Linked DNA regions of Schizosaccharomyces pombe. The gene in region 1 interacts genetically with each later gene. Each region holds a gene or a part of one and is shown in the gene's direction. Other genes may lie near its edges.

The links.
Region 2: mutations in slx8 (region 1) and chk1 are lethal when combined (synthetic lethality), as found in Schizosaccharomyces pombe (one study listed by BioGRID).
Region 3: mutations in slx8 (region 1) and eme1 are lethal when combined (synthetic lethality), as found in Schizosaccharomyces pombe (one study listed by BioGRID).
Region 4: of slx8 (region 1) and nup132, a mutation in one rescues a mutant of the other (synthetic rescue), as found in Schizosaccharomyces pombe (2 studies listed by BioGRID).

The regions. Positions count from the first base shown.
Region 1 is NC_003423.3:1,287,023-1,293,010, reverse strand, and holds slx8 (SUMO-targeted ubiquitin-protein ligase E3 Slx8), read left to right. Parts: upstream 1-2,799; 5' UTR 2,800-3,050; coding exon 3,051-3,860; 3' UTR 3,861-3,996; coding exon of another isoform or gene 3,997-4,775; 3' UTR 4,776-4,812; downstream 4,813-5,988. Other genes in the region: U3 snoRNA associated protein Dip2, read right to left, coding at 1-2,447; AP-endonuclease Apn2, read right to left, coding at 3,997-4,775, 4,813-5,605. UniProt on the Schizosaccharomyces pombe protein: Mediates ubiquitination and subsequent desumoylation/degradation of sumoylated proteins and proteins containing SUMO-like domains. Acts as a critical suppressor of gross chromosomal rearrangements (GCRs) during normal cell cycle progression.
Region 2 is NC_003421.2:1,057,343-1,065,977, forward strand, and holds chk1 (protein kinase Chk1), read left to right. Parts: upstream 1-2,453; 5' UTR 2,454-2,677; coding exon 2,678-2,745; intron 2,746-2,790; coding exon 2,791-3,032; exon of another isoform or gene 3,033-3,078; coding exon 3,079-3,507; exon of another isoform or gene 3,508-3,545; coding exon 3,546-3,753; exon of another isoform or gene 3,754-3,799; coding exon 3,800-3,989; intron 3,990-4,034; coding exon 4,035-4,331; exon of another isoform or gene 4,332-4,376; coding exon 4,377-4,433; 3' UTR 4,434-4,642; coding exon of another isoform or gene 4,643-6,853; 3' UTR 6,854-7,101; downstream 7,102-8,635. Other genes in the region: gid1 (putative Ran GTPase binding protein), read right to left, coding at 1-538, 583-847; ubiquitin-conjugating enzyme E2-C Ubc11, read right to left, coding at 1,548-1,629, 1,680-1,915, 2,085-2,174, 2,225-2,252, 2,301-2,395; protein Meu27, read right to left, coding at 4,643-6,853.
Region 3 is NC_003424.3:3,295,150-3,302,724, reverse strand, and holds eme1 (Holliday junction resolvase subunit Eme1), read left to right. Parts: upstream 1-2,811; 5' UTR 2,812-2,857; coding exon 2,858-2,944; exon of another isoform or gene 2,945-3,000; coding exon 3,001-3,092; exon of another isoform or gene 3,093-3,176; coding exon 3,177-5,205; 3' UTR 5,206-5,383; downstream 5,384-7,575. Other genes in the region: glycerophosphoryl diester phosphodiesterase Gde1, read right to left, coding at 5,384-7,575. UniProt on the Schizosaccharomyces pombe protein: Interacts with mus81 to form a DNA structure-specific endonuclease with substrate preference for branched DNA structures with a 5'-end at the branch nick. Typical substrates include 3'-flap structures, D-loops, replication forks and nicked Holliday junctions.
Region 4 is NC_003424.3:2,774,612-2,782,360, forward strand, and holds nup132 (nucleoporin, WD repeat Nup132), read left to right. Parts: upstream 1-2,676; 5' UTR 2,677-2,759; coding exon 2,760-2,943; exon of another isoform or gene 2,944-2,999; intron 3,000-3,007; coding exon 3,008-6,312; 3' UTR 6,313-6,442; downstream 6,443-7,749. Other genes in the region: etf2 (electron transfer flavoprotein alpha subunit), read right to left, coding at 1-134, 207-317; tRNA 2'-O-methyltransferase Trm13, read right to left, coding at 729-1,472, 1,524-1,560, 1,640-1,965; serine/threonine protein kinase (CK1 family) Cki3, read left to right, coding at 6,805-6,939, 7,006-7,075, 7,136-7,284, 7,358-7,749. UniProt on the Schizosaccharomyces pombe protein: Functions as a component of the nuclear pore complex (NPC).

The DNA.
Region 1 (5,988 bases):
ACGTGCTCAAAAGGAAGCACGAGAAGAGCGTCATCTAAGTGGCTACTACGAATTTTTTTGAAAGTATTCAAAACGTACTCCTCAGCTGAAACACCTAAATGGGCTAATATCGGATTTCTCGGTCCACGGGCTTTACCAGGGCTCTTAAGCAGATCAAGTCTGTACTGAATTTCTTGATCCAAATCCTCTATACCTATTGTAATAGCTTCTAAGATCTTTTCTCCGTCTTTTAAGCTTTCAATTGTTTGCTTCGTGACAGCTGCCACGTCTCCGTCTTTAACCTCTCCGTCGGCTTCAGCATTTTCATAAGATGAAACAAGCGTTGACTCATATTGCTCCTCAAGCTCACGTTCCCGTTCTTCTTCTAGAAATACCAAATCGTCACCTTGTTCCCATAAACGTATTGAATGGTCATGGGAGCCAGAAACAACAAAAGTTGGACCAACAGCTAATGCCCAGACTTCAGAGTGATGACCGCGAAGTTTTAAAATTAGATCAAATGATTTACCGTCCCAATAACGAACTTCTCGATCTTTTGAACAAGTAAAAAAGTTGTAAGTATCTGGTTGAAATGTGACTTCCATAATAGAATCTTGATGTGCAAATATAGACTTGTGGCAATCGCCAAAATCAAGACCCCATATTTTGACATTCTTGTCGGCACTGCAAGTAACCAGCAACTTTGAGTCATAAGAAATATCCATAGAGAGAACTGGAAGCTTATGACCATAAAGATTTAAAAAGAATTTCAACGAATCCAAATAGTATACCTTGACGGTATTATCTAATAGTGAAGCAGCAACGAAACGACCATCAGGTGAAATTTTAACCGCAAGGACATCGTCTGTGAAATCTATTTGTCGTGTTTGCTCTAATTTCAACGTGGTGACTTTTCTAGTGGTACCTGGTACGAAATCAAAAGACGATTTTAGAGACCAGAGTTTGACTGTGTGATCGGCAGAGGCAGTCGCGAAGTAAGTGCCATCGTGACCAACCGCTAAATCCCAAATCGCGCCATCGTGAGCTTGGATACGTTCGATAAGAGAAGAGCTAGCAATGTCATAGACTTCAAGTTCTCCTGATTTGTAAGCGGATACGATACACTTGTCGTTATTTATAAAGCTAGCAGCAAGTACATAACCACATTCGATTGTACGGATACAAGATGTGGTTTTCTTGTTCCAAAGCTTCAAAGAGCCGTTAGCACCGCTTAAAATCACATCGTGATTAGCGGACAAAGCCAAGGTACGAACGTCAGCACGATGACCAGGAATTTCAATGGCACTTATACGCGAAGCCCGTTCAGTTAATGGTGCAGCAGAACCTTCAGATTTGACATCCAAAGCGTAAACTTCAATTGAGTTATTTTGAAGAGATGTTACCAACGTAGGTGTACGATTTCCTGGTATCCAAGCTACAGACGAAGCACGAGCAGTGGTTCGAATTAGAGCAAAAGGTTCATATTCGTCTTTTAACGTGATCGAAACGTCCTCAGACTTTTTACGACGGCGTCGTCGATTCAGAATCTTTTCGAGCTCCGCACTTGATCGAAGGCGAAAAACCTCCAGAAGACGGTCATGAGCTTGGAATACAACATAACGGTTTGAAACGTCGTAAGCCAAGGTGATGGGACGGTCACGGCTTTGACGGGTAAAGGTACCTAATTGCTGAAATGCTTTAGTAGTTGGAGTGAAATTATTGTCATCTGGAAAACTGATTTCCCAAACTTTAACATCAGAACCGGTACCAGCAGTGAGGCACCGTTTGGCGTCTGGTGAAACACACATAGCCCAAATTTCGCCTTGGTGGTCGACATGAGTCTCAACGCAATGCTGAATAGACAAATCCCAAAGCTTCATAAAAGAATCTTTGCCAACAGACAAAAGAAACGAATCAGACGATTTACTGTCAACGTCCATGTCGCCGGAATCAATATCTGTGTCCACCACTGTTTCTTCAGCTGTATTCTTCGAAGGAGGTGTAATGAACAAAAGCTTGGTAATTTGGTCCTTGTGTCCACGTAGTCTAAACAAGCCGGTTTCAGCTACAATATCCCATACAATAATGTCGGTATCCATGCTTCCACTGGCCAATCTTGTGCCCATTTTATCAAAATCCATGGTAGTAACAGCACTTTTATGACCATTAAGAGTTATTAAGAGCTCTCCATCTTTCCAAAGACGTATAGAACCATCTGCATAGCCCACAGCGTACATTTCATCAAAGTTTGCAATACAAGTAACTTTTGCCGAACAATCAGAATCCTTCCATTTTGATAGTAATTGCCCAGTCTTTAAATCCCATTCCAAAACAGACTCAAGACCGCCAACAATGGCTCTGCCTACAGATTTAGCAGACGAAGAGGGTTGACCGAGAATATTACATCCCGAAGACGCAATGACACCAAAAAATTCGGTTGGTTCGTACCGCGTATAGCTTTTGACCATTGCGTCTACCCAGACCTAGATTAAAAAAAAGGCGTTGGTTGATGCTAAGTATATACACTCCTCTAATATTCAACAATTTGGAAAAGAAATAGCGATATACATTGTTATCGTTTTTTTATTTTAGCATTCCTTAATGCACTCCATAATACATTTTTGCATAGTTTATGGAATACTCATAATAATGTCGGTTGCGCAGTTTAATGAACTGCATTGAAAAGATTATTGATACACAATTAAGTTTTACCAGCTTTTCTGTTCTCTTTTCTTATTTGAAATACCGCTTGCGCTATTGAATGTGCTCATGAAAAAGGTCATAAATATTAATTAGACTAGCATCTTACAACATTGTGGTAGTGAGCCAATTTTTCCATGTAGACTTCAAAAATCATAGGTCTACTAAATTTAATTTTAAACTTGTTGGCAAGTTGCCAAAATAATTGCTGTTTGCGTATATTGACGTTAACACAATTCTCTTTTATTATTCTAGCAAGCCTGAAAAGCATTTGACAATCGATTAGGATACGATCAAAATTATCCTAATATTAGCCCATTAATCAATAATCTATAAACTATTTTCGAATTTCAGGACCAATTGGCAAAAAAATGCCACCCGCACATAAGAGAGATACCAACGTTAGAAACTTATCTGCACCATACAATATCCCATCTCAATCCGCTAGAGTCGCAGCTGGAAATGCAGCAATAAATAGGAGACGTTCTTCTCCAGTAGAGAATTCGCCAGGAAACGGATTTCCGGTTTCAGAAGATGCAACAGACTATCCTTCAGGCACTACCTCTGAGAATGAGTCTTTACCACTGAATCGTGCACCAAGGTCGCTAAGAGAGGTTGCTTCGGAGCTAGCACAAGAAGAAACACTACCTGTTGAAACCTCTGATTTAAACATAGATGTGGAAAGTGAAGTATTCGACTTGGAAGACATTAATTTTCAGAATGATGCTGATGACATAAATCAAAGATTCACCTACAACAATCATCCAGCTTCCGTTGAAAACAGTTTAACAAATGTTAATAGTATTCACGCGCAACCTACTACTATAAGCGATATGATTGATTTAACTGATGAGACTTCCTATGATCCAAGAAAACAAAAATTTGAACAGGGAAAGAACCCATCGACCACCAACGCCGAAATTGAAAAAGAAGAACCTAGCAAAAAACAGGTTGTTCCATCTTCACAACGACTAGCTGATTATAAGTGTGTAATTTGTCTGGATAGTCCGGAAAACCTATCTTGTACTCCCTGTGGGCATATATTTTGCAATTTTTGTATACTAAGTGCTTTAGGTACAACGGCTGCCACACAAAAATGTCCGGTGTGCAGAAGAAAAGTACATCCAAACAAAGTTATATGTTTGGAAATGATGCTCGGATCTCAAAAAAAGAAATCTTAACCGTACAAAATTCCGTATATACATATTAAGAATGTTAATGAAAGATGTGTGATGCACTGCTCAATGCTTTTTGCGGTTTATACACATCAAAATTGAGAATTGATTAAGAGCAAGTTATGCTAGTCATTACAAATTTTCAGTCCTTTGAATTTGCTCTCCAATCTGAGTCCCAGATAAAGAACCTGCATTGGAACGGTTGAGTATCTTCCTCAGAAACTGCATTTGAGTTTTTAATCAGTTCACCAACCGGTCTGGCACAAATCCAAAACTTCCGCCCGTAATTGATTCCCGGCTTCCTCACTGTCAAATACTTGCAAGGTTCCTTGTGACCCTCACAAAGTGGAGGAGCTCGTTCACTGAATATTTGCTTCCAGGCGTTCCCGTTTTCTACTTTTTTTTTTACTGTCAACCCTATGTCAGATTCATTATTGTTATCAAGGACCTCAATCGAAACGTCTTCTGTTTTATTGGTTTCTTCTTTCTCTTCCTTTTGCTTCGCAAAAAATGAAAGAAGCTTCGATTGTTCTTTTCGTCTTCTCTTTTCCGGTGGGTAGGCATCGACGTCTATGACAGAGTTTGCACGAGAAACAGTTGGTGAGGAGCCGCTGGACGCAGAAGCAGATACGTTTTCGCTCTGAGTGGGTGAGTTGTTTTTATTCTTTTTCATCGAATTGAAATGTTGGAACATTGAATGAATATTTTTTGATGGCCGATAGGCTGAATGATGCGCCGTTGATAGTAAAGGTGGTTCTTTTGAGTGACTTAGAAAGTTGGACAACTTTTTTCCTTCATATTCTTCTTTTAAATCTAAATATACGGGGCAATGATCTGAACCCATGACCTCAGCCATAATATCTGCATCTTGAACCCAAGGTAATAAATCGGGTGTTGCCAAAGTGTAATCAATTCTCGTACCTATCCATTGTAAAAAAAATAACAATTCAGAACTTACCATAATTTGTGGGCCTTGTATTAAGTCTTGTATTCCAACATGTAAACATTCCTTTCCGAGTAGGATGTTGAATACGGCCAATGTCCAACAGTAGTCCCAACCTGCTTGGTAGTAATAAATCACGTATCCATTGTCTTGATTCCATGATGCTTGGAATAAGACTCTCTCGAATAATGTCTTTTTGATCAGCAGTGTCAATAGGATTACACAAAATATTCACATCCCCAACGAGAATGATTTTTCGATTTCCTTCCTTTATCAATCTTTCAATTCTTTCTCGTAAGGCTTTATAAAAGGCCCGTCGATATTCTAGTCTATTTTCTCCAGAGTTTACTGGACAGTAAACACCGATTAGGATGAACATCTGAAAATCTAATAATATACACCTTCCTTCACTATCAATCCAATTAGCAGTTTTTCTGTCAATGTCTTTTGGGAAAAATCCTATCTTTTCATGCTCCGGTGCTTCTGAATATGAATATTTTTGTCCTCGTACTGGCAGGATGCCAGTAATTCCCTCTTCTGCTTTCACTGGAATAGCAACATCTTTTTTTACATAAAATCCAACCCCACTATAGCCTTTTCTGATCTTAGGAAATGTAAAATAACTGTCGAATCCCTCAACAACTGCATATTGTTGAGGAAAGCTGTCTTTCTGCATTTTCAATTCTTGAACACATATTACATCAGCCTGTAACTCTTGAAATATCTCTTTGTAGGAATTTTTTTTATTCCATGGAAAATAATTGAATGGATTCTGTATACCGTTCACATTCCAACTTAGAATTCGCATTCTTATAATTTTTACGTAGAGAAAGTGTGCGAAGGTAAAGGCGACAGACTTTTGAATTTACAATTGTTGACATAAGTTAATCTGATGGAAAATAAAATGCATTTGTTTAATTCGAGAATGAACTTTTTCTTTTCTTTTCGACCTTCTCCCTATTGAATGTTGATTTTCAAAAAAATTCTAGATTGACTAATATTGAGTTACAACTGTAAACAATCTAATGATTCTTTCTAAATATATGTCATTAAACGAGTATACATGTTGTGCTAGAAAGACATTATCTCAAACTGCTGTTTAAAAAAGCTATGTTTGGATACAAGGATGTAAATTGGGGTATTAACAGGTATCCAAAAAATCCATTAAAAAATAAAGAAGGTTTAGTTTTT
Region 2 (8,635 bases), on another chromosome or scaffold:
AGAAATTCTTGACGCTGTTTTAACTCTTCCTGCTTTGGTGACTTAGTTGCCTGTTCAAATAATTTGTTTTTCTCCATTTGAATAGCATAATCAATGTCGTAAAGAAATGGGTTCTGTCCGAAATTAACCTCAACATGTTCACCATGACTTTTCAATCCGATAACAGGGTACAAAACGTCGCTGACTTTCTTAAATGCTACACCCAAATAGGCACCATTTTTGGTGTAGAAAATTGTCCTGTTGATAAAATTAACTCCACAGCCTATAATGTCACCAGTGGTAAATTCAGGTCCATAAGCTTCACCCGTTTTAGAGCAATTAAATTTCTCACCACTGTTTCCGTGGTATCCCCAGCTTTCTGCTGTACAACCTGGAAGCCTATTAGTTTGCATGCTCTTCCGACAAAATCCAACACCCATTTTTCCCTCTTTTCCTCGAGATAAAATTTGAATTTCATAATAGTAGATAGAAGTGTTTGATGGAATTGCATGATCAGCTTTTACAGACGCCGCATCATGTTCAGTGCCGGCTTCAGGACCTATTAAAGATTAGTTATAAACCATTATAATTAATACAACGAACCAAAGAAATAAACCCCCATGTTGTTATTCATCAATTCTAATGAATCTGACTTATCGTTGGGATTCCATGAAGATGGAATGGCTTTCGGCGTATTTGTTACATTGCCCTCCCTTGTCATGTCAAACTCTCGTAAATACTTCTCCCATTTCAGCCATCGTGGGTCACTTCTAAGCACATTTTCTCCGTAATTGGTTCCTTGTAAATACAAGGGGAGATTGTCGAAGTTAATCGGCTGTTTTTCAAGATTCTTTGGTGTACTAGTCATTCGCAGGTATGCTCTTGGTAGCATATAAACAGCCAGTTTTAGTAGCTTATTCAGCTATCAGTTTAAATGTTCAATTTTCTAATCAGTTTTTCTTTTGTAATTAAATACAAATCTTTTGTAATAATAATTGGTAAAACTCTTAAATTTTTAAATGACGTGTAAATTTCAGCAACTCTATAAAATGCTCTGAGACTGAAAAGATACTTCACTATACGGCTTCATAAGGATTAAAGGCTCAAAATTAGAAATACAAATATTAGGCTGTATATACAGTCCTATTACTAATCAGAAAAAAATTCAGGCACAACATAACATTGATACTTGTCTTGCGATAATACATAACACAATGACATTGAGAATCAATAATAATAAAATAGTATTATAATCTAACGGAAAGCTAAAAAAACGACTGCATTAACGGAATGCATTAAACAAGAATAGCTTTAATCGAGCATCATAATAACAACTTCAACTTCTGGAACTAAATAATGATAGACGGTCCTTAAAAAACCATTCGGTGGTTTTCAGGAGGTTGTGGCATTGCATGAAGGAATTGCTTAATCGATGAGATGAAATAATTTCAACTTCCATTATCAATGAAGAAAGTTTAACTAAAGACATTTTTTCAAGCATTGAATAGGAAAAGAAAATCCATATGACTAAACAGAAATGAAAATGAGTATGAAATAGACCGGCCTAACTAAATTTCATCGATTTCTTTATATCTCTGCATTAAAAGACGTTTGTACTCGATAGGGTCTTTACTCCACAATTCTGCAGCTCTAAGAATTGTTAATAATCAAAAAAGGTAAATGAGATATTTTCAACATACTGAGCATTCAAGGGAGAAGCATTGTTTGGCTCACCCAGCAGACTTTGTAGAGATAACAAAATTGTCTGTACGTTATAGACTGCTGACCATTTATCTTTTAAAATGTCTAAACATATGTTTCCACTCATATCGACATTGGGGTGCCACATTGGTGAAGTAAAAATGATAGTTGGAGGGGAATATGGGTAATTAGCTGGAAATGACATTGAAATTTTAAATTTCAATCCTTCATAGTACTATTTTCGTTACGTTAGTCGTATGAAAAAGAAGAAAGAAGAGTAGACAGTTATGAAAATGTAATGACAAAGATGTGTATTAATTTTCCATTAAAGTGCAGCTACAAGTAAGCACACCAAGCATTATTCATATACTTTAAATATTAAGCTTTCAAAATAAAAGTCATACCGTATCGCTTGGGCCGGTAATTGTGCCAGCCCAATGTAGCAGGTTAGAATCAGAATCTGGAAACGCACTAATTCCAGGAGTATTGGACATCTAGTCATAAAACCCTAGTTAATAACAAAGTAAAAAAGCTTATTACAAACCATTAAACTCATTAATTCGCTTCTCAATCTACAAATGCATTAGAGACTTTTTTCCTAAAAACTGTTTATTTTTTACCGTTTTGTAACGCTATGACCGTCAACAGCCATGCCAGCAGAAGAAGAGTTTTTAGAATTAGTATGAGGGTTCTGGTTTTGCATATCAGAATCCATTCCTCAAGTTGTTACTGTAGTTTCTCAATGAGTACGTGGTGGTAGGAGAGTAAGTTATAAACACAACACAACATGTGCTAATGTACACAAGTAAACGAAAACCGGATATCAAATTATAGTCCAATTTTATATCATTATATAGATTTAAAACTCATTTAAAAATTACCTTAATTTAATCTTTTCCAGTCTTTGATGATGTTAAGACTGTAAATAATACACATGCCAAAATTTGCAACATATGCTTGTGTTATATTATAATCTTCTTTCCCTTTACACCAAAGAATGGCTCAAAAATTAGATAACTTTCCTTACCATATTGGTAGAGAAATAGGTACTGGGGCTTTTGCTTCGTATGAATTTTGATTTGAAAAATACTATATACTAACTTAAGCAAGCGTCCGTTTATGTTACGATGATAATGCTAAAATATATGCTGTCAAATTTGTCAATAAAAAACATGCTACTAGTTGTATGAATGCAGGGGTATGGGCTAGAAGGATGGCTAGTGAAATACAACTTCACAAACTATGCAATGGACATAAAAATATCATTCATTTTTATAATACAGCAGAAAATCCCCAATGGAGATGGGTAGTACTTGAATTTGCTCAAGGTGGTGACTTATTTGACAAAATAGGTGGGTGCATGAACCTTTCGTTTTTACTAACGGACTTACAATTTAGAGCCTGATGTAGGTATTGATGAGGACGTCGCTCAGTTTTATTTTGCTCAACTTATGGAAGGTATTTCCTTCATGCACTCTAAAGGTGTCGCGCATCGAGACTTGAAACCTGAGAACATCCTTTTAGATTACAATGGTAACTTAAAGATTTCAGACTTCGGCTTTGCATCTTTATTTTCCTATAAAGGTAAAAGTAGGCTTTTGAATAGTCCAGTGGGTAGTCCACCATACGCTGCTCCAGAAATTACACAGCAGTATGATGGTTCAAAAGTTGATGTCTGGTCCTGCGGTATAATTCTTTTTGCTTTGTTATTAGGCAACACACCTTGGGATGAAGCAATTAGCAACACTGGTGACTACTTGCTTTATAAAAAACAATGTGAACGCCCGTCTTACCACCCATGGAACTTGTTGTCTCCAGGAGCCTATTGTAAGTCCTGACTGAAATTCCTTTAAACTAATGATCAGCGATTATCACCGGAATGCTTCGAAGTGATCCATTTAAGCGCTACTCTGTCAAACATGTTGTACAGCACCCATGGCTTACCTCAAGTACACCATTTCGAACTAAAAATGGGAATTGTGCCGATCCTGTAGCATTGGCATCAAGGCTCATGTTGAAACTTCGTATTGATTTAGATAAACCACGTCTTGCCTCATCTAGAGCATCTCAAAAGTAAGATCTTGCACAGTTGTTTCATATTTCTAACTCTTTCAATTAGCGATAGCGGTTTTTCAATGACACAGCCAGCTTTTAAAAAAAATGACCAAAAGGAGTTGGATCGTGTAGAAGTTTATGGCGCCTTATCCCAGCCAGTACAACTTAATAAAAATATTGACGTTACTGAAATCCTTGAAAAAGACCCCTCATTGAGTCAGTTTTGTGAGAATGAAGGTTTTATTAAAAGATTGGTATTATTTATTTAAACCTAAATTTTTTCTAACTATATGAAAAAGGCCAAAAAGGCTAAGAATTTCTACGAAATTTGTCCTCCTGAAAGACTCACTAGGTTTTATTCTAGGGCGTCGAGAGAAACCATTATAGATCATCTTTATGACAGTCTACGACTACTTGCAATCTCAGTGACTATGAAATATGTTCGAAATCAGACCATCCTTTATGTTAATTTACATGATAAACGGAAATGTCTCTTGCAAGGTGTTATTGAACTAACTAATTTAGGCCATAACTTAGAGCTTATAAACTTTATAAAGCGTAATGGGGATCCTCTTGAATGGAGAAAATTTTTTAAAGTATGTCTTTATCATAGGGATTTCATATACTAATCCATGTGAAAGAACGTTGTCAGTTCAATAGGGAAGCCGATTGTTCTTACAGATGTTTCACAAAATTAATTGCACATCTTTTGAAAGGTCGTGCCAGTTCGTTTGTAAAAGAAACCTGTTGTTTGACTTCGTTGTGAATTTATTTTCAATTTTGTGGTAGTACAAATGATATCCTAGGGAATAGGATTATTAACGCTTTGTCAAGCAAATATCAATGGTTGCGAATGCTGAAGATATATTATTAGCATAAGGATAGTTCTTCCGACTGGCCATGCCGTTTAATACATCATTGTACCCAATATTCTTTTCTCACAATTCTTTCTTCTTTTTCTCTTTTTTAGTGAGATATCTGACGGCTCATTTGATTTTAAAAGGGATAACTCTTCTGAAATAACTCTTTCAAACGATTCTAAAAGGTCTTCATTTTCTTGGTCGGAGTATAAAAACTCATCTTCTTTACAAAATAGTAAAAGGTTCTTTTTTGTGAATTCTTGTCTCTCTTTGGCTTCCAGGTAAGCATGCAAAGGAAAATGTGACATCGATGAACCAGTACTTATCAATGTAGTTATCCATAAAATATCGTCTGGAGTCTCTGCAGACATTAACATGTCTTCTCTTGTAGCCTCATCTACTTTTAAAAACTTCTTTCCGTGAAGTACTTCGGGAAGCTCTAAGAAACAGTTAAAGCCCTCACACACGATATGTAGCCAGCGATGATTTTCAGTAACAACGTATATATCCGAAGATTCAATTAAATGCATCCGGATGTCTCCTATTCTCTTTTCGGCTGCTACTTTGTGAACAGGTGTTAGTTCTCCTAAACTCACCTTTTCATTCACTAGTCGTTCTAATGCTTTCCATAGATATGTTTGGTGAGCAGGAGGATAAAGATCATATAGCATTAGCTGATGAGTTAATACCTTGATGTCCATTATCCCTTTAGACAACTTTAAGTGAAGCCTTTTAATACAGCTGTTCTTGTTTACAAGTGATAGCATATTTTCAAGGCAGCTATTAGTTATTTGAGGTTTCACTAATGTTTTTGATGTTCCATTTTTAGTATCGAAGACATTCATCAAGTTTTTATCTTCGTGCTCAAAGATGGTAATAGTTACTGTAGGTGGAAAAAAGGCTTTACTCTTGAATTGAACATCTTCGATACATATATCTAGGTTATCACAAAAGAAGTTTACCCAAGGAATTTCAGTAGAGCACATGTCTGATACTTGGGCAAATTTGCAAAAGCTTGGGGTAATAACCTTTTGGTCACTGAAAAGAAACTTTGTGCATTGCTGTGACAAGTCGAGGACCCTTTCATTATCTTTTTTTTCTTTTATTGTAGCCTGTTCGTTTCTAGAGCTTTTGGATTCGAGTACACTTTCATATTTCAATTCAGAATCATATATTGGCGATACTTCACTGGAAGCGATGAGGTCGGAATATATAATCTGTGTTTCTTCTAGGTCGGGAAATTCGGTAAAATCTTTTACTCCTTCTATTATGGCTTGTTCATTTTCAAAGCACTTAGATTCGAGTATATTTTCAATTGCTAATTCAGAATCATATATCGGCGATATTTCACTTAAAGTCGTGGATTCGGGATATAAAATCTGTGAAGATAGTGATAAGTCAGAAAGCTCAGAGCTCTGTTTTATATCTTTTAATTCAGCATTTTCTGAGTGGTTCGGTTTGTGGGTACCTTTAGGTGCTGATTTGGAATTATTAATTGGCGCCAATTTGCTCAAGGTTGTAAATCTACAGCTTAGAAGCTGTGGATACCGAGGCTTAAATATATCTTTATCTCCCGTATTGCTTTCTTTCAATAGTGCCCTCTTCGGTTGAGTTAAATGCGAAAATGCCTTTGTTGCTTTTATTGCGGATGTAACCTGACTAATGGAAGAATTTTCGTTAAATTTTTCAGGTTTTGTTTGGTATTTACGAGCTGCCAAATGTAATTTGATGTTACTATTCGTTGAAGATGATATTGATTCCTTTTTATTGTATGCAGCATTCCAGTATTGGGATAAACTTTTAAACGGCGAGCTATTAATAGTTGAAAGTTTCGTCTGGAGTTCTGATTCCATAAAAGAGGTGCCGCCCAATTGCAGTATACAAGCTATGAATGTTATTGGCTTGCTTACGCCGAGCTTGTCGAAAAGGTTATTAGCCTTTGAAGGATTTTGGTTTGAAGACTTATTTTCCTGTTGACTTAAGAAGCCTTCTTCATTTTTTTTTTTTAAAGTATAATTGTTCTCTATTGATTTTGGCTCAACTTGGGGTTCTAATGGCATTTCTGCCATGCTTTCATCGTTATCAGAACCCATACAGCAGAGAGGAGCGCAAATTTTTAGGATCTTTGATTTAAAACTTGTCCAAGAGCTACCAGAGCAGTGAGTATCACATCGGTTACTTTTTCCCTTTTCCTGTATTTTATCAGGACGAAAGGCACCTGATATTTTAATCTCTGGATAAGCAATTTTACTGTTCATTACGAAGTTACTTGGCTCTTTTGAGGCTTGAGTGATTGCCAGTTGGATAACTCAGTAATTAGAGATCGTGTTCAATCTCTTGAAGTGTATACAAAGGTTGGGTAAAACATGTTCAACCTTGGGTTATTTATATTAAAAAACAATTCATTTCGTTTATATTAACACATTGTTTTATCATAACTAATAATTTATGAAATCCCTCACAATAAACAAACATCGAATGATAATTTGATGCTCACCTAACATTTGCTTAAAAAAGTGTTAAGTAAACATTTAATATTACTAAAAGATGATCATTTAAAAATAAAAGCTTTCGCTAACCATTTGCATCCTGGATAAATAGCTCAAATAACAAAGGATTTAGATTAACTGAATAGTAATAATATCCTTAGCTAAGCCTTTGAACTAAGCCTAAATAAACAACACCAATTACTCACTATTTACAATGGATGTTTGACTTGTAACCAATAAGGAGGCAAGATTTACTAAAGACAACCAAGTATAATGTTGTAAACAAAAATAATAAACAAATCAACATTGCTGCAATTATACATTCGAAAAGAATCATTTAACGCAATTCTGAGTTAAAGGAAAATAATGTGTAAATAAACAAACGAAAAAGAGTGGAATACTAGCAACTGTAAATAAACAGAAGTTATTTTTTAGTGATCGAATTATATTGTATTTATGTTGTCAAAAGTTATTGATTCATGAATACCCCCGAAAATATCTTTCTGAAGTAAAAATTTCAGAAAATAGAAAGTGTTTTATTTTCGTTCGTATGTTAGTACGAATATCAAATTTCCAGTTTCATATTGCGTGACCAACACATTATTTATTAAAAATTTTGGACAAGCCAGAACTCGAATCTGGGACCTCTTCCATGCTAAGGAAGCGTGATAACCATCTACACCACATGCCCATGGTTGATTTTTACTCTATGTTAGTCGATTATTACTTCCTTTACTATTTGCTATTATTCTTTTCCAACGCACTTTGATACTACCCACGCTTATCATAGTATACAAATATAACATACATACAAATACAACATACATACATATATGTATATATATATATATTTACTACCACTGCAAATAATTGTTACGCCTTTACTACTGTTGAGTTTTCCTCCGTTTTTTTATTTGTTTTTTCTATTGTTTTAAATTAATTATTAACTATCTTTCTTTTTAGTCCAAATACTCAAAAATACTTCAAACTAGCTTCATTAGTAACATTAACTAACTAAATTTTTTATTCAGTTTTTGTTTGTATATTTTTCAGCACTTAATATTTCTTAAGATAATTATTTTTACAGTTTCCCTCTTCTTTTTTTTTTTTATTTAAATCCGATGCGAAAATAATTAATTACAAACAACAGATAATTAGTAATTACACTTTTGAAAAAAATGAGAACTACAATGGAACAAGTAAATAAAAAAAAAAATTTAATCCAACCAAAATTGCTGATCTCATTTTATTTAAAAAAGTAAAAATGATTTCATTCCAAAAGAATCGTTAATTAATAAAGCAGATATAATTTCTTTTTTAAAAGTAAAAAAATTAAAAACTAAAAAACGATTGATCGTGCCAAGACTCGAACTTGGGACCGTCTGCGAACTGTAAATGTTAAGCAGAAATTATAACCATCTAAACCACACGACCAGATGTTAGCCTAACTCTTATTATATCTGGTATAAGCGTAGTTTAATAACTGGCTAATTGAGTAATGAAGAGCCACAGATTTCGCAACCTTCACAAATGCTTTACGCTACCTCGTTA
Region 3 (7,575 bases), on another chromosome or scaffold:
CCACGGGCCAATCAATCCGACCATGTTGGTTCAGGCTCGATAGCCCTGATCCTCGGAAAAGCAGCGTGCAAAAGCCGCTACAATGCAAATTTCAACTTTGGATCGGGTGACATGTGACTCAGAGGGGAGACGAGGCAGAAGCAGCAGGCGAGCGCAAAAGTAAACAGAGAAACGCAGCAAGAGAAGAGAAAAAAGGAAGAGAAAGAAAAAATGAAAGAGAAGAAAAAAAGTAAATTGAAGAAAAGCATTGTATAATAACATTTAAAATGGGAGAAAAAGAAAGATCAATAGAATAGAATAGTATAGAAATGCAGTAATGAATGACAAGAAACCAGGGAGCATCAGACATGTTCAGTAAATAATTCCAATAAAAGATAAGTAAAAGAAATTTGTCTGAGTGCAAAAGAATATTTCAAGATGTTGTAAGAAGGATTATTTTGTTTATTTTGTTTTTGTTTTATTTTATTTTCTTTTTCTTTTTCTTTTTGTTTTTCTCTTTCTCCTTCTCTTTCTTCTTTTCTTTTCATCGCTTCCTCTCATCTAAAACTTTGATCCGACTGATAGCTTGGAATCCATCGTATTGCATTACACCACACTATACAACGCTATATCCTTCGATGGATTATCTGGTCTTAGTCTTAGTCTTAGTCTTTATCCTAGTTATTGGTGCCTGCCCTAGCCCAGACAGAGATTTGAAGAATGGGGGTTAGGATCCTTGATGCCCCCAGTAGACAAAGAGCAGTATAGCAATGACAATGACAATAGCGATAACAATAAAATAGCGATAGTTTAGTAAAGAACTGTTAAATAGTAATAGTAATAGCAAATACAATTTCTATTTGAATCGCTGTCTTTGTCTACATTCGTTTTTTGCTCATGTTCCTTCATCTCCTGTGTTCATGCTTCCGTACGAAAAGACCTGCAACGCTTCCGGCCCATCGGACGCTGCATTTTACTTTTTTAGATGGAGCTCTGATCGTCCATCTCTCCCATTCCTCCCGGCTACTAAACCCGGAGTTAAGATAAAGGTGCGCCTGCTATCCGAAGAAAATAAACTCTGCGTAACCGAAGCAACAATGGTCGTGGTAGCAAAAGGAGTATAGGGTGAAAAGAGAAAAAGATAAAAGAGAGAAGAGAGGAGAGGCGAGAAAGGAAACAAGAATTATAATTAAAAAAAAAAAAAAAAGAAAAAAAGAGATTTTCTCTTAAGAATCAAAACATACTGAATGCAATTGTTTTGCCGAATACTACGATTTTTGACGTATTGCACTTTTTTTGGCTTATTGCTGGATCAACATGTATAAGAGTCTATTTAAAGGATTTCCGTTGTAAAAATACAACTTATCACACTCACACGTTGACACTAAGAGAAAAAAGCTATAGCGAACAATGATACACACACATATACATACGCTGTTGCTATTCACATACGCTGCCTTGATACACACTGTCTTGACTATAAGGAAAAAAGGTTTGGCTTGGTCACAAGTAAAATGTAGCGATGACTTTCGTACTCTACTAATGATTGTTTAGTGAAGAATGATAAAAGATAGTAGTGTGTATTGATTATACTTGTATAATGCAGTTGAATTTACTATGAATAATTTGGAAATTTCGCACAACTCGTTGGTCCTCTTAAAAAAGGAGAAATTTCAGTTTGCGAATATTGGTTTCTCTCTCTCTTTACTTTGCTTTGCTTTGATCTGCTCTACTATACTCTACACCCTTGCCTTTCTGCTTTCTTTGTTTGGTTGCAAAATTCACAGATCGCAATGAAAAAATGTTTTAAACTGCGAACTAATAAGTAGAATTGATTTTGCAATGAAAAGTAAAATTAAATTAAATAGAAAAAGAAAATTTTAAAAAGAGACAAAGAAGAGTAAGGAAAAAAAAGCCCCCCCCCCCCCCCCCCCGAAAAAAAAAGAAAAACAATGTATTCATGGTAAAAACAAAAAAAGTTTTTACTCATCATTCATTGTATCGTTGATCAATTAAAGAATACAAAAAAAAAGTAAGCATAAACCCATTTGGAAACATTGCATCAAAGGATTTTTCATTTTCATTTTCATTTTTATTTTGTTTTATTTTATTTTATTTTATTTTTTTGTTTACCATCATTGATGAAACAGACTAATGAAAAAGAAACTCTAGTACATTTTTATTTTTATTTTTATACTATTGAGCTTTAAATATTAGAGTATTTTATTCTATTGAATTTGAATTGAATTTATTTTAATTTTGGTTAAATTAATTGATTTTCTTTTCTTTGAAATTTTTATTTTATTCAATCTTTTTACACTTTCTAACGTACTACCAAAGTCCCTAAATACCGTATCGCCCTTCTACCTAAAATTCTTTCAAAATGACACACTAAACCACAGTATTTGCAAAAGAAATACTCACCCATCCCACTCATTGATTTCAATAATCTTCAATTCTCAAACACAAAACGACATCCTTTCAACTACTTCTAAAAGAATAAATATTTTCCTTTTTTTATACTATTCATCTTATCTAAACTCCTCCTGCATCCATTTCTCTTCTCCATTTTTTACCCATCTCTCACCTAACCTATATATACTTATATGTAAACAAACCTACTACTCTCTATACTTTCCATACCAAATATCCTCAAACATCCACGCAAACCTCCAATCTTTTTAATTATTCAAACTCTTTAATACCATTCCTATCTAAATTTTTTACTTCAAACTTTTTTTTTTTTTTCTCATTTCTTTTCGCTCTATTTCTGTCACCAACTCTCGTTCCCTGCCGGCTCCTTGTGTACACTTTGCCCTACCTGTCCTAACCACCAAACCCTCTATTGTTCGGAAAACAAACACTACACATGCATTGAATGACTCTGCAGTCTACAGATTCCGCTATTGTGATCGATTCTGAAGCTGATGTTGACATTTCAAGCTCACAAGCTTCTCCTTCCAAGGTTTGTCGCGTATTTCCCTTTCTTTCTGTTCGCTTTTTTTTTAACCCTCTTTTTAGGACAATATTGCTTTGTCAGAACACAATGTTATAACTGTTCTTGATACTCCTCAAAGATCTACTCAATGCGATAGTTTGCTAAAAAGTTTCAGGTAAGTTGACAAATATTGTTGCCAGCATTTCCTTCCTTTCCACACTTTTCTTCCACATCTCGCTAATCGTTCATTTGGGGTCAGTACTCCTTTAGTTTCCGGCTCCGAAGATGTTCTCCCTAGTCCCCGTGATGCCCTTAATATCACTAATAAAAAGTCGGTTACCGATAATCTTTTGCTCTCTTTAACTTCTTCAAACCAGTCAACAAACACGAATTTAAATCCTTCTTCACGCGTCGAAATCATTAATTTAAACTCTTCTCCCCCTAATTCCCTTTCCTCGCAACCAAAACACCAAGAATTTCATTTATTCCATACTCCCACCATTCCTAGGACTACACAATTGTCATCGAAAACCTCCTCTCCCATCGTTATTCCCGACGACAATGAACAAGTGGCTTCCCCTTTATCTAAAAAAGCTGCTTCTTTGACTTCTTCACCCTTAAAAGATTTCCAGTCCTCCCCGCCGCTCTCCACAGTCCTTCAAAAATCCCACTCCCTTCACGATATACTACTGGACACGAATGATGACGATCATTTCCCATTTACCCAGAGTCCGCTAACAAAAACAAAATCTTTCAACGATGCACTAACATCCTCATCCTCTATACTAAAGCCATGCATGCCATCCATCGCTAGTCCTACTTCTAATCGATTATCACATGCCCCTTCTACGCCTAATTTATTTCCTAACCAAGACAGCTCCAATACAATCGACCTCATCAATAACCGTTCCAAAACCTCCGTAGAAAATCAAGAAAGAACTTTCAATCTCACATCTGATGTGCACTTAGATAGCCCGACCTCTCCATCCAAGCATTCTTCAATTGAACCCAATACTAGTCAGGAAGATAGTTTTCAAGAACTTCCTTCTCTAAACAAACTTTCCATTCAAAGTAGAGCTTTTAAAAAAATGAGACTACCCAAAATTTCAAGGACTACCGATACGCCTCCTGCCTCTACTTCAAATTCAAATAAAAAAAATTTGGATAAATTAAAAAAAATGAGAAAATTATGCTCTAGGAGCTTGGAACCGTACGAGCTAGACTCTAATACACAACGTAAGAGGAAACGTTACGAAGATTCTTTGAAAAAATCAAAAACTTTAGATAAGGTTGACAGCTTGAATAGAAAGATGGCGAAAGAATTGGACAGAAAGAATTCAAAGGAACTTCAAAAAATTAACAAAGTTAAGAGAACCAAAGAAGAATGCCTATCTGAGATAATTCTTTTATCGCCGGATGATTGGGCTTCATCTTGGTATTCAACTGTTCGCTCTCAATTAGATTCATACAACTGCCAATTCGTTGTCAATTCAAATCAACCAAAAGACTCAATTATGTGGAAAAGGAAGGTAAACAATGTGTTTAATTCTTCTACCAACCGGTTTGAACTTAGCATAGAGCATGAACAAATCGAACCTTTTGCCCTACTACGGTTGAAATGCCGGGATTTTATAAAATACATCGAAGAGGACCAAGCTGATACTTTTTTTCATGAAATGTCTGAAAAGTTTAAAGGCTGTAAGCTAATACTGTTGCTGGAAGGCATCCCAAACTATTTTAAATCTCTGAAAGCAGAATTAAATCGTCAATATGCAGCAGCTGTTAATAGCGGTACCAGACCTTTGTTATTTGGTTCTTTATCAAAATATCAAAACTTTACTAAAGAAAAGTTAGAGAGTGAAATCGTCCGCTTCAGTTTCGAACATAGTATTCTTATAAACACTTCAAATGACGAAAAAGAAACCGCTCAATGGATAGTTTCCTTTACCGGCGACATAGCTTTATCTCGTTACAAGCACTTTTCTAAATTTTCAGCTAGAGCCTCTACTACCGAAATAGGACATGTCAAATCCGCCGATAGAATTGAAAACTCTCTAAATTTTATGTTGCGGCAAATACTACGAGTTACACCTAACATTGCTAACGCCATATGCGATCAATTTGACAGTATACCATCTTTAATTCATCATCTAAAAACTCACGGCGAGGAATCATTAACCAACGTTGTCATCCAATCTAGTATTAGTGAACGAAATTTAGGTCCGGTTTTATCGCGCCGTATATATAACACTTTCTTATGTAAAGAAGCATCCAGTGATGCACCATAGTGATCGGTCATTATTTGTATTTCATTAATTGTTATCATGATATTTTTTCCTTTTTTTTTCTATCTATGAAATTTTCTTATGATATACTTTCTTCTAACTAAAAATTAACTAATATCGGTTTCTAACTAAAGCACCTCATCTTCTATATCGTCGGTAGTATTCGTTCAAACTTTCTAGATCAATCAGATTCCAAACTTTCATCGTACTGGTTCAAGGCACGTCTAATGGCTAACACATTGTCTACAATGACAGCATCAACTCCAAAACGTACTTGGCGTCGGACATTGTCAACATCATTATTGAGAACACCATAGGTGTAGCAAGATAAACCCAATTGTTTAACTGCCTTGATCAGCCTCGGGCACATAATGAGCGGTTCACAAGCACTAACGATACCCAGAAAACTCCACTGTGAGGCAAACTTTAAAGCTTGTCTAAGCGATGCTGCACGAACGTCTGTTCGGTAAGCGGTACCTCCTTCAGTCAAAAAAAGAACAGGATTAGTCGATTTCAAAGAAAGTAAGATGCATATATCAGGATTAAAACTAGAGAAAATATACTTTCTTTTACCACCATACTTTTTGATTATCGATAGAATGGTATCCACGTAAAAGTTATAATCATAAGCTATAGGGAGCAATTTCTCTTCCTCAGCTTCACTTAGCATGGGGTACTTAAATTCCACATTAAGTCCTACGGATTGTGGAACTTCCTTCAAAACATCCTTTAAAGTTGTGAACGGTGCACAAATCGTATGACCAAGGGCATTACCCTTATATACTTTAGGCTTCAAACGTGCGTTTTCTTCAGCAAATTCACCGAAATTAACCTGTGATCCTGAAGGTGTAAATGAGGAACTGTAGGCCCTAGGACGTCTCTTCTGCTGAATGTCACTTGCATCATCTTTAATTTCTTCTGAAGGAGAGTGGGAAGCCCCTAAGAATTGCTCCAAAGTCAGCGAATGCACTTGTGCATCCGTTCCGGTTTCGTTTACGATAAAATCATGGTATACCACTGGGACCATGTCTTTAGTCATTTGCACATCTAATTCAACGTAAGAAGCACCAAGATCTGCCGCTTTTATAAACGATTGTAAAGTGTTCTCGCCAAGTTGAAGACTCAAACGATCAGGCTGATTCTTACCAAGTCCACGATGTCCGATAACCGCAACACCATTCGATTTCCCTGATTCTGATGTAGTTGTGGCAGATTTGTGTAAAGAACGCTCAGCGTCTTCCAATGCAGTGCGACTTACGTTGGAAACTGCTTCCAGCGATAAGGCAGGGGTACTTATGCCATCATTTGACGAAAATCTATCATCAACTGTCACCTTAGAAATAAGAACATCCGCATTAACATGAGCTATTGGTTTAAGAGTTTTACTCGAAAGTAATGGTAAGGGTGCCAAAGGTTTCAACGACTGCATATGATTCCCCAAATCAGATACCAGAGAAGTCAAGCAACATACAGTTCTCCCTAATATTTTATGGGATCGATTTGCTAACAAATCAATTGTAATAGTTGCTTCTTCTGTATTTCTTGTAACGAAAACCAATTCATACGGTGGAGAAGACCCGTTTACAGGTTGCGGACTATTTTCTTGTGCGGCATCATAATGCAAATGAATAGAGTCGTCGGCAATTTCATCAGGCTCCGCCAAATTCTCTAAGCAAACTTCACCGGCATTATCAAAATGGGAGCGAGGGATATCAATAATCACTGAGTTGTTTTGGCTAGAAGATGGTGTCATAGAGCCATTAGAAGCAGTAGTGTCGTTTTTACTCAACGAGTCAGTAGATTGAGACATGAAATCTACTGAAGATGGTCTACTTGCGGCAAAAGATGGAGACCGCCCTGAAACATACACAGCATCATCACCTTGAAGACTAACGCGGATTCTACCGGCCAAATCACTGATTCGAATAATGACCACTGAACGAGATAATTGTAAATCCATGGCACGTTTTCTGCTCCTCATTTCGGAACTTGAGGCTTTGATATAAAGTGTATGTAAATTAACAGGCTTATCACTCAAGGCGACTTGAGTTCTAAGTTTATCTGCTAGGTGTAAATACCCCCGAACCACAGCTTGTTCCATAGCAGTCCAACCTGAAGAATCAACTTCGTCAACCGAAGCGCCCGAGGCAACTAAAATTGAAACAATTTCGGAAAGTCCAGTAGCTGATGCAAGCATCAAAGGAGTCCATGAATTCAAAAAATCCCTTGCGCTAGGGTTTGCTCCAAGTTTGAGTAACATTTTAACACATTCCGGCCTGTTATAACGAACAGCGGTGTGTAAAGCTGTATTGCTACTAGCATCAACTTCGTTAGGATTGAATCCTGCAAGGATGAGTTCTTCTACGATCAAAT
Region 4 (7,749 bases), on another chromosome or scaffold:
GCAAGACACTGGCGAAGAATGGGCTCAGAAGAAGTTTGTCCTGCGGTCACTACTAAAGTGTCCTCAATTCTATTTTTCAAAGTTTCCTTCATCCTTATAGCCTCTTCTACAGCAATATCACAAAATGGATTAATCTTTTCACGATTAGTCAAATATAAATTGCGAATTACAGCAGTACTGAAATGATTACTCTCCTTTCAACATACACTCATTTTTTGCCCCGATAAATCAACAGCAGTCTTAGTGGCATTGATGCGAGGCTTTAACATATAGTCTAGAGTTCGCTTGACTCCTACTAAAATGCGAATTTTCGACATTTTTGCGATATTGCTATGCGGTGGTCAAAGACTGGAATTGAAGAAGGTAGAAAGTTGAATATGAAACCTTCATACATATTCCATATTATTTATTAATGTTGTTAATTTTATACTTTTTAAAAAAAATAGTTTTTATTATTTAAATATTGCACAATTTCCGAGTTTAACTAGTTAGGAAGTTTTTTAATTTTAAGTAAGAGGAAATAATGTCTATCAAAATTTACATATTCCAAACAATTCCAACTTCAAGAGAAATCATGATTGCTAAAAAAAAGTAAAATTTGCTTTAACTATCAGATTGCTATATGCAATCTCACACTTCAAAAAAGTACAAAATAATTCTAGTTTTTTTGAGTGCAATCTTTTCAAATTTAAAAAATTTTCTTACTTTTCTCACGTAAGGAAATTCACTTAGTTGATTCGTTTATAAGCGATGAGTGCAACATTTTCTAAAGTCGTTTCTTCACCAACGTAGTATACGAGAGAAGATTCATAACCCATTTTTTCGCATTCTAATTTTCTCATGTAATTGATAATATGCTTGCACTTCAACCCAATTTTTACGCGTTCCTCATGAGAAAGACCACTGATGTGTGAGTCGGCTCCTCCAGAAGCATGCATATGCTCACGCAAACTGTTTACAGCCCACCCAGTCATCTGTCGTAATATTTGAAACTCTTGTGGATTTGAAATTCCCCAATGACTTAATTGTTCTCTAGCAAAGGTTGAAAGTGTTCTCCATCGGCAATGATGATGACAACAAAGGGCAATTACAAGAGCATTAGGAGGGGAGGACTTTAAGCAATTCAAGGTAAGGTCTGTGGCAGCACCACATAAATGCTTAGAATATGCAAATACAGGTTTACCACTATTCCGAAATTCACTAGCAAAAAAATCGAGTTTCAAATCCTTAATATCAATTTTACACCTTATAATTTTTGGCTCAGGCCAGTTATTTTTGATGCTATCTTTTAATATCCTGCTATCATGCTTCGTTCGATTTGAATCACGATCAATAAGTATATATACGTTTTCTTGTTGGGAGCAGTGCTGAACATATCTTGATAACTCGGCTCTTCCAGCACCGAATTCGTAATATATAGATCCTTGGTTGTCAAAATAATGTAGTTTTTCCATATGTCCTAACAATGATGCCTAAAATGGTTAATGCTTTTGACTGCCGTTAAGAAATCATGTCGAACATACCTGCTGAATTGCATGCTTTTTTTTTGTACCCTCTTCACTGTTAAAAATGAAGTTAGTTTCTACTTTTGCAACCATCTTCTTAATAAAAAGCTAATGAGAAAGCACTTCGTACATACAGTCTTGCATTCATTGCCGGGTGAAACAACACCTTTTTTTGAGGAGTCGGTAAAGAATCACTAATTCTGTTGAACAAACAAATCCATTTTGACAACTCTTCCTTGCTTAAATCGACGATTTCAAAGGAGGAAGATTCTGAAGCATCTGTTGAAGTAGAGATATTTATGTCCTTCTTGTAATATGGATCGGTCCTTTCAACAGGACGCGCGTTACAACGCTTCAAATGATATTCTAAACGATGTCGCACAATTGTATGCTTGTGATCATATGGACAGGGGATTTGTTTTAATTCTTCCTGAGTAAAAATTTTTTTTATTCGTGCCATCAAGTTAGATAACTTTTTAACTCTTAAGTGATATTAGCCTGAATATTGATCACAAAAGTAAATCTTAAAATACAATAATTTTATTTTTCTTGTAAAATTTGGTCTTTTTCAGTCCTTCGGATAATTTACAACACTAATGAAAAATAGCTTTCCGATTCGGCAGTTCAGACACTTCAAAATAAAGTATTTTCGCGTTTTTCTCTTTATTACAGTTGTTTCCAACCCAGTCCCAAACTTTCTACTACTTTTATAGTTTTCTGTACCAGATGTGCGATTTTACGAAGAAATCTGATGTTTCCAACCATTGGCGTGCTCATAAAAAAAATTCAAATACGGAATCATGAAACATTTATATAAATTGATCATGCGTTCTAAAAAAGTAGTTTAAGCTTGACCTTGAAGAACGCAACTACTTTTTAAAAACCTCTGTTTTATACAACATTCCGGGAAAAGACAATATCCTAAGTATCACTTCCTTAAATATACCAAAGCAAAGAAATAATTAATTACAAAAGAGCAAACTGTGTTGACATTTGTGAAAAAAGTGTATATGACATATACACCGATTTTGAAATATTGATATATTGATTTTACTCTGAATTTCTTATCAGTAGCTTAACTATTTAATTCTGAGTAAAAAATAGGAGTCTAAGTAAAGTTCTTTTGATTTCAAACCCTTCTTTGTAGGAATCGTCGACATTCGTCCTTCTCAGAGCCATATTCTATCCCTAAGGGTATTAAGGAGTCAAATAGACGATAACCGCCAGTATCAGTACTGATATCGTCAAATAGTCATGAGTTCTATCCTTGGTAAAAGGAAAAATGAAGAAGTCGTATCTTTTAGCCCTTTGAAACGAATTTCTGTTGAGAAATCGCTTTTGGATAGCACTGCCTATAATAATTCATTGGATTGGCTCAGATCTAAAAATTTCAAGGTCTCGTGTCTACTTAAACATTTTAATTCTAAAATTATCAACGGTACGAAGCTTTTATTTCTTCACTGTGCGCATTACTAGGTAACTAACATCTCTATTCAATTTAGACCATCCTTTAAGTGGATCATGCTACACAGACATCGGTTATGCATTAATTAATTCCCGAAAAGCTTGCTTTATTTTGTCGTATCGTCAAAGCTTGGGAACAGCAGAACCTCCAACTATAACATTTCCGCTACCTGAAGAGGACTCAAATGGCTTTTCCGGGCAAAATGCCTTGACAGCCTTCGTCCCTTCTGATGCTTCTGACAAAGAACCTGGATTGCTGATTGTAATGCCTATCTCTGGTCGTATAGCATATTGGACTTCAATTGGGAATGCTCTCGCTCAATCTTATATATGTCCCCAGGGAATGGAAAGTTTGATAAAGTTACTCCCCAAAGAAAAATGTGAGCATTTATGTTGCTCAAACCCCATGAAGTTCATCATATCTACCAATTTTGGTCGTCTTTTTTCTGTTCAACTGCGCGATCCTGCAGGTCAACCTGACGTTTCTGTACAATTATTTGCTTCCGATATTAGTACTTTTTCTACTATTCTTCAGAAAATGAAGATTTTTAACTACCCTAGCATTCATATCATTGCTTTAAAATCCCCACCACTGTTCTCTCCATACCAACATCTTTTGTATGTCGCTGAGGCATCTGGTTTACTAGAGATATATGATTTGAAGTTGGAAAATAAGCTTGTTTCTGGTATGAATCTGTCTCCTATTTTTAAGCAGGTTTTGAGAGAAGGATGCCCCGATGCAAGCGGACTTGAGGTGTTAGACCTTACTATATGCCCCACAAACGGAAATCTAGTGAGTTTTTTAGTATGTTGGAAAAATTCTATTAATTACCGTTACATGATTATTTCTCTTGATTTTTCTGACATTTCCTCACCCTCGGTAATGAATATTCATCCATTGTATTCATTTTCTTCTAAATCTCTTGAGTCTTCAAAGCTACATTATTCATCATCAGGGAATTCTTTATTTGTGGTTTTAACAGACGCTGTTATTATAGTGCACGTCCAAGAGGATGATAAAGATATTGTATCGAGAACATCATGGGAAGAGGTTATTCGTATGAATACTAATGTCTCTGGCGGCATATTTATGTCTACTTGCTACAAATACGTTTTAGGAAAATACTCTATTCCTACGGAATCATGTTTTATAGCAACCCCTTATTCTGGTATCGCTGAAATAGAAGTTCATAGTTTGGAGCATCCTGCAAATAACGAATCTCTCGTAAAAAGCAAGTTGGAAGAAGCTGTTTTTTACTCCTTCCTTCCTGGTAATCCGATCGATTTTTCCTGCAATTACCTTCGCTCCATCAAAAAGCCTGAACTCGAAAGGATTATTGTCGATCTTGGAATGGACATCTTGAATTCAAGGTCTACTCATTTACCCCCATTATTTGCTTCTTTAATGCAGCATCTGTCCTGTAGGTTAAATTCTTTGAATAATCTTGTCCGGTATATTAGGTCTATGTCACTGGATGTTGATCGTCAAGTACTATACAAGTTGAGAGTAATGGGCGAAAAATGCAATTCTGTTAGATATTTATGGAATACTATCGATACTGAATTTAGTACTGTTAGTCATTCCCTAATTTTTCAACGCATAATTTATAGACTCACTCAAAGTGCTTCGTCGGATAACGCTTTGAGAGAGTGGTTTTTGCATAATATTGAAAGCATTGATCAACTGATAGCGCAAGCACATGAATTTTGCATAGATTCAGGTTCTCGAGTTCAAGAACTTCCATTGGAAGTTCTTGATGTAATTATGGAAGCTAATGAAGTAATTCTGGCAATTCAATCTTCGGCTTTGGCTTATCGCCGTGAGTCCCAGAAGATTTATAAGCTAAGTATTGATACCTTTGGAGAAGAGGTTCCTTGGACGTCAACGCCAGAAACTTTAGTTTTGCTGTGTCGACAGTTTGAACTTACTCGGTCAGCGCTTGTCCAGTCACATCAAGGAACCTCGGATGTGGAGAATACTTTTAAAATAAAGGATAAAGGGGTGCTAAGAAATGTCGTTTCAAATTTAGAAGTACAATTAGTGGCCTTGACAGAGGTTTGCTTTGACGCGTACTCAGAAAGGATTAGATGGATAGAACAACGTTGTGGTAAGGATGCTAGTGAAATTCAAGATGTCAAGGAAGCTTTTGCAGTTAATCGCAGATTTTGGGTTCAAACTTTATCAGATATAGGTAAAGGCAGCAGTGCCATTCGAATCGCTGAAAAATACTCAGACTATCGTTCTTTAGTAGAATTGTGCTATCAACTTTATGAGGACAATGAGCTCACGGATGCACTAAACAATTACCTTGATCTTTTTGGTATAAAATTCGCATTTATATTATATGACTATTTTGTTGAAAATGGCATGGCATTAGAGTTGCTTAATAGCGACAGGTTCAACAAATCTTATTTGAAACAATTTTTTAAATCTCGAGATTACAACCAGATTTCATGGATGCATGATATGAGGTTAGGAGACTACGATGCTGCGTCGCATAGATTGCTACAGTTGGCTACTAAACAAGAAAAGCTGGTTGATAAAAAGGAATCTGAGCTTTCATTAAGTAAATTATTTCTTTATGCAGTTCCATCCAACTCTGGAAATATCAGAGATTTGGTTTTAGTGGAACAAAAGCTTGAGCAACTACATATTCAAAAAATGGTTTCCAAAAGTGTTATGCCAGTCGTTGAACGGCTTCGTTCTCAGGGGAAAAAATACCAGCTTGTAGAAGCTGTTGTGGATGATTTGATTGGTGCCAAGGTAGCGCCTGTTATCGCTCGTCAGGTTATGCAGCGCGTAGTCAAAAAGTTCATTGCCGGACAGGTGGTTGAAGCAACTGAACTGTTGGAGTACCTCAGCTTTTCTTTATACCGTCGAGAGGACCTTGTAGAAGGTGAAGTTACCGACTATTATCTTGCTTTGCGTCTTCTTTTAACCACCAGATTAACGGACGATGCCAAGAGATTTTATGAAAATACCATTTGGAGACGAGCTGTTTTACATGACAACTGGATCCAAGTTTTGGATACCCAGGGTAAAAACGATGCAATTATAGAAACCCAATTCCGAATGTCAGCACTATATCGGACTCTAGAGGCTGTGACCATAAACGGACTTTTTCATGAAGGACTTATCCGACCTGGTTCGCTTTCTTCTTGTAAGTTTGAAGGATATGATCCTCAAAATCTCATTTCTATTTACCCACCCGCTCGCTTTGGAGATGTGACTGAAGTTACCAAAGTACTTAATCGTGAAAGCGTAAAGTTGGATCATTATCTTACAAAAACTAATTTAAATACTTGCTATATTAGTATGTGTTTAAGTTGCGATACGATTTAACCTTTATCTTAATCATACAAACCCATTAGATAATAAAAGAATTTTGGTTAGATAGGTTTCATCCGAGTCCCTTGATCATTGTCAATTTTGTTAGCTAATGAATCTAAAATAAAATTTTGTTTACCACTAACTCAAACTAGAAAGTATACCATTATATCTATTTTCAGCTTTCCAACCTTATACTACGCTAGCTTGGTATATCGGTGGAAAACCCAGTACTGCTTACTTGTCCACTACCAAGTACAGTGTTGGCTGCCTCGGATTCCTCTGAGGTTGTCAACTGTAAACGAAATAATTGAACTGTCACTTTCTTTGTGTTTTTCATGGAATCTTTGTGGATTTTAGCGGCATCTACTTCATTTTTCTACCCGTAACCATCTTTAACTTTCGAGTGCGAAAGACATCAACATTTAACAAACCGGAACGCTCTTTTAATCAAAAACATTTTAAAGAAAACTGCATTTAACATAGTGGAATATTTAAAAGACCATCATGTCAACTACTTCGTCTCACTCCAACGTCGTTGGTGTTCATTACCGCGTTGGTAAAAAGATTGGAGAAGGATCTTTTGGCATGTTATTTCAAGGTGTAAATTTAATCAATAATCAGCCAATTGCCCTAAAATTTGTATGTAATTATTTTTAGAGAGCAATCCAGATTCTCAATTTCAGTACTAACGTTGCATTCTCACAGGAGTCCAGAAAAAGCGAGGTTCCTCAACTTCGTGATGAATACCTTACTTATAAGCTACTAATGGGTTTGCGTAAGTATTCACTATGGTTGCTATACTGATTTTCGTCAATTTCCTAACATTTATCCCTAGCTGGAATTCCGAGCGTGTATTATTACGGTCAAGAAGGCATGTACAACCTTTTGGTCATGGATCTTCTAGGACCTAGTTTAGAGGACCTTTTTGATTATTGTGGCAGACGTTTTAGTCCTAAAACCGTTGCCATGATTGCAAAACAAATGGTAAGTTTGTAAACGTCTATCCGATTGTTGTCGGATTGGCTTTATGTGATTACATTTTAACAGGGTTAATCAGATCACCCGTATTCAATCTGTTCATGAGAGACATTTTATTTATCGTGACATTAAACCAGATAATTTTTTAATCGGGTTCCCTGGAAGCAAAACCGAAAACGTTATCTATGCCGTCGATTTTGGCATGGCTAAGCAATATCGAGATCCAAAAACTCATGTTCATAGACCGTATAATGAACATAAGAGTCTATCTGGTACTGCACGTTATATGTCTATCAACACACATCTTGGTCGTGAGCAATCACGAAGAGATGATTTAGAATCCATGGGACACGTTTTCATGTATTTCCTTCGAGGTAGTCTTCCCTGGCAAGGGTTGAAAGCTGCTACAAATAAGCAAAAATACGAAAAAATTGGTGAAAAGAAACAAGTCACTCCTTTGAAAGAGCTATG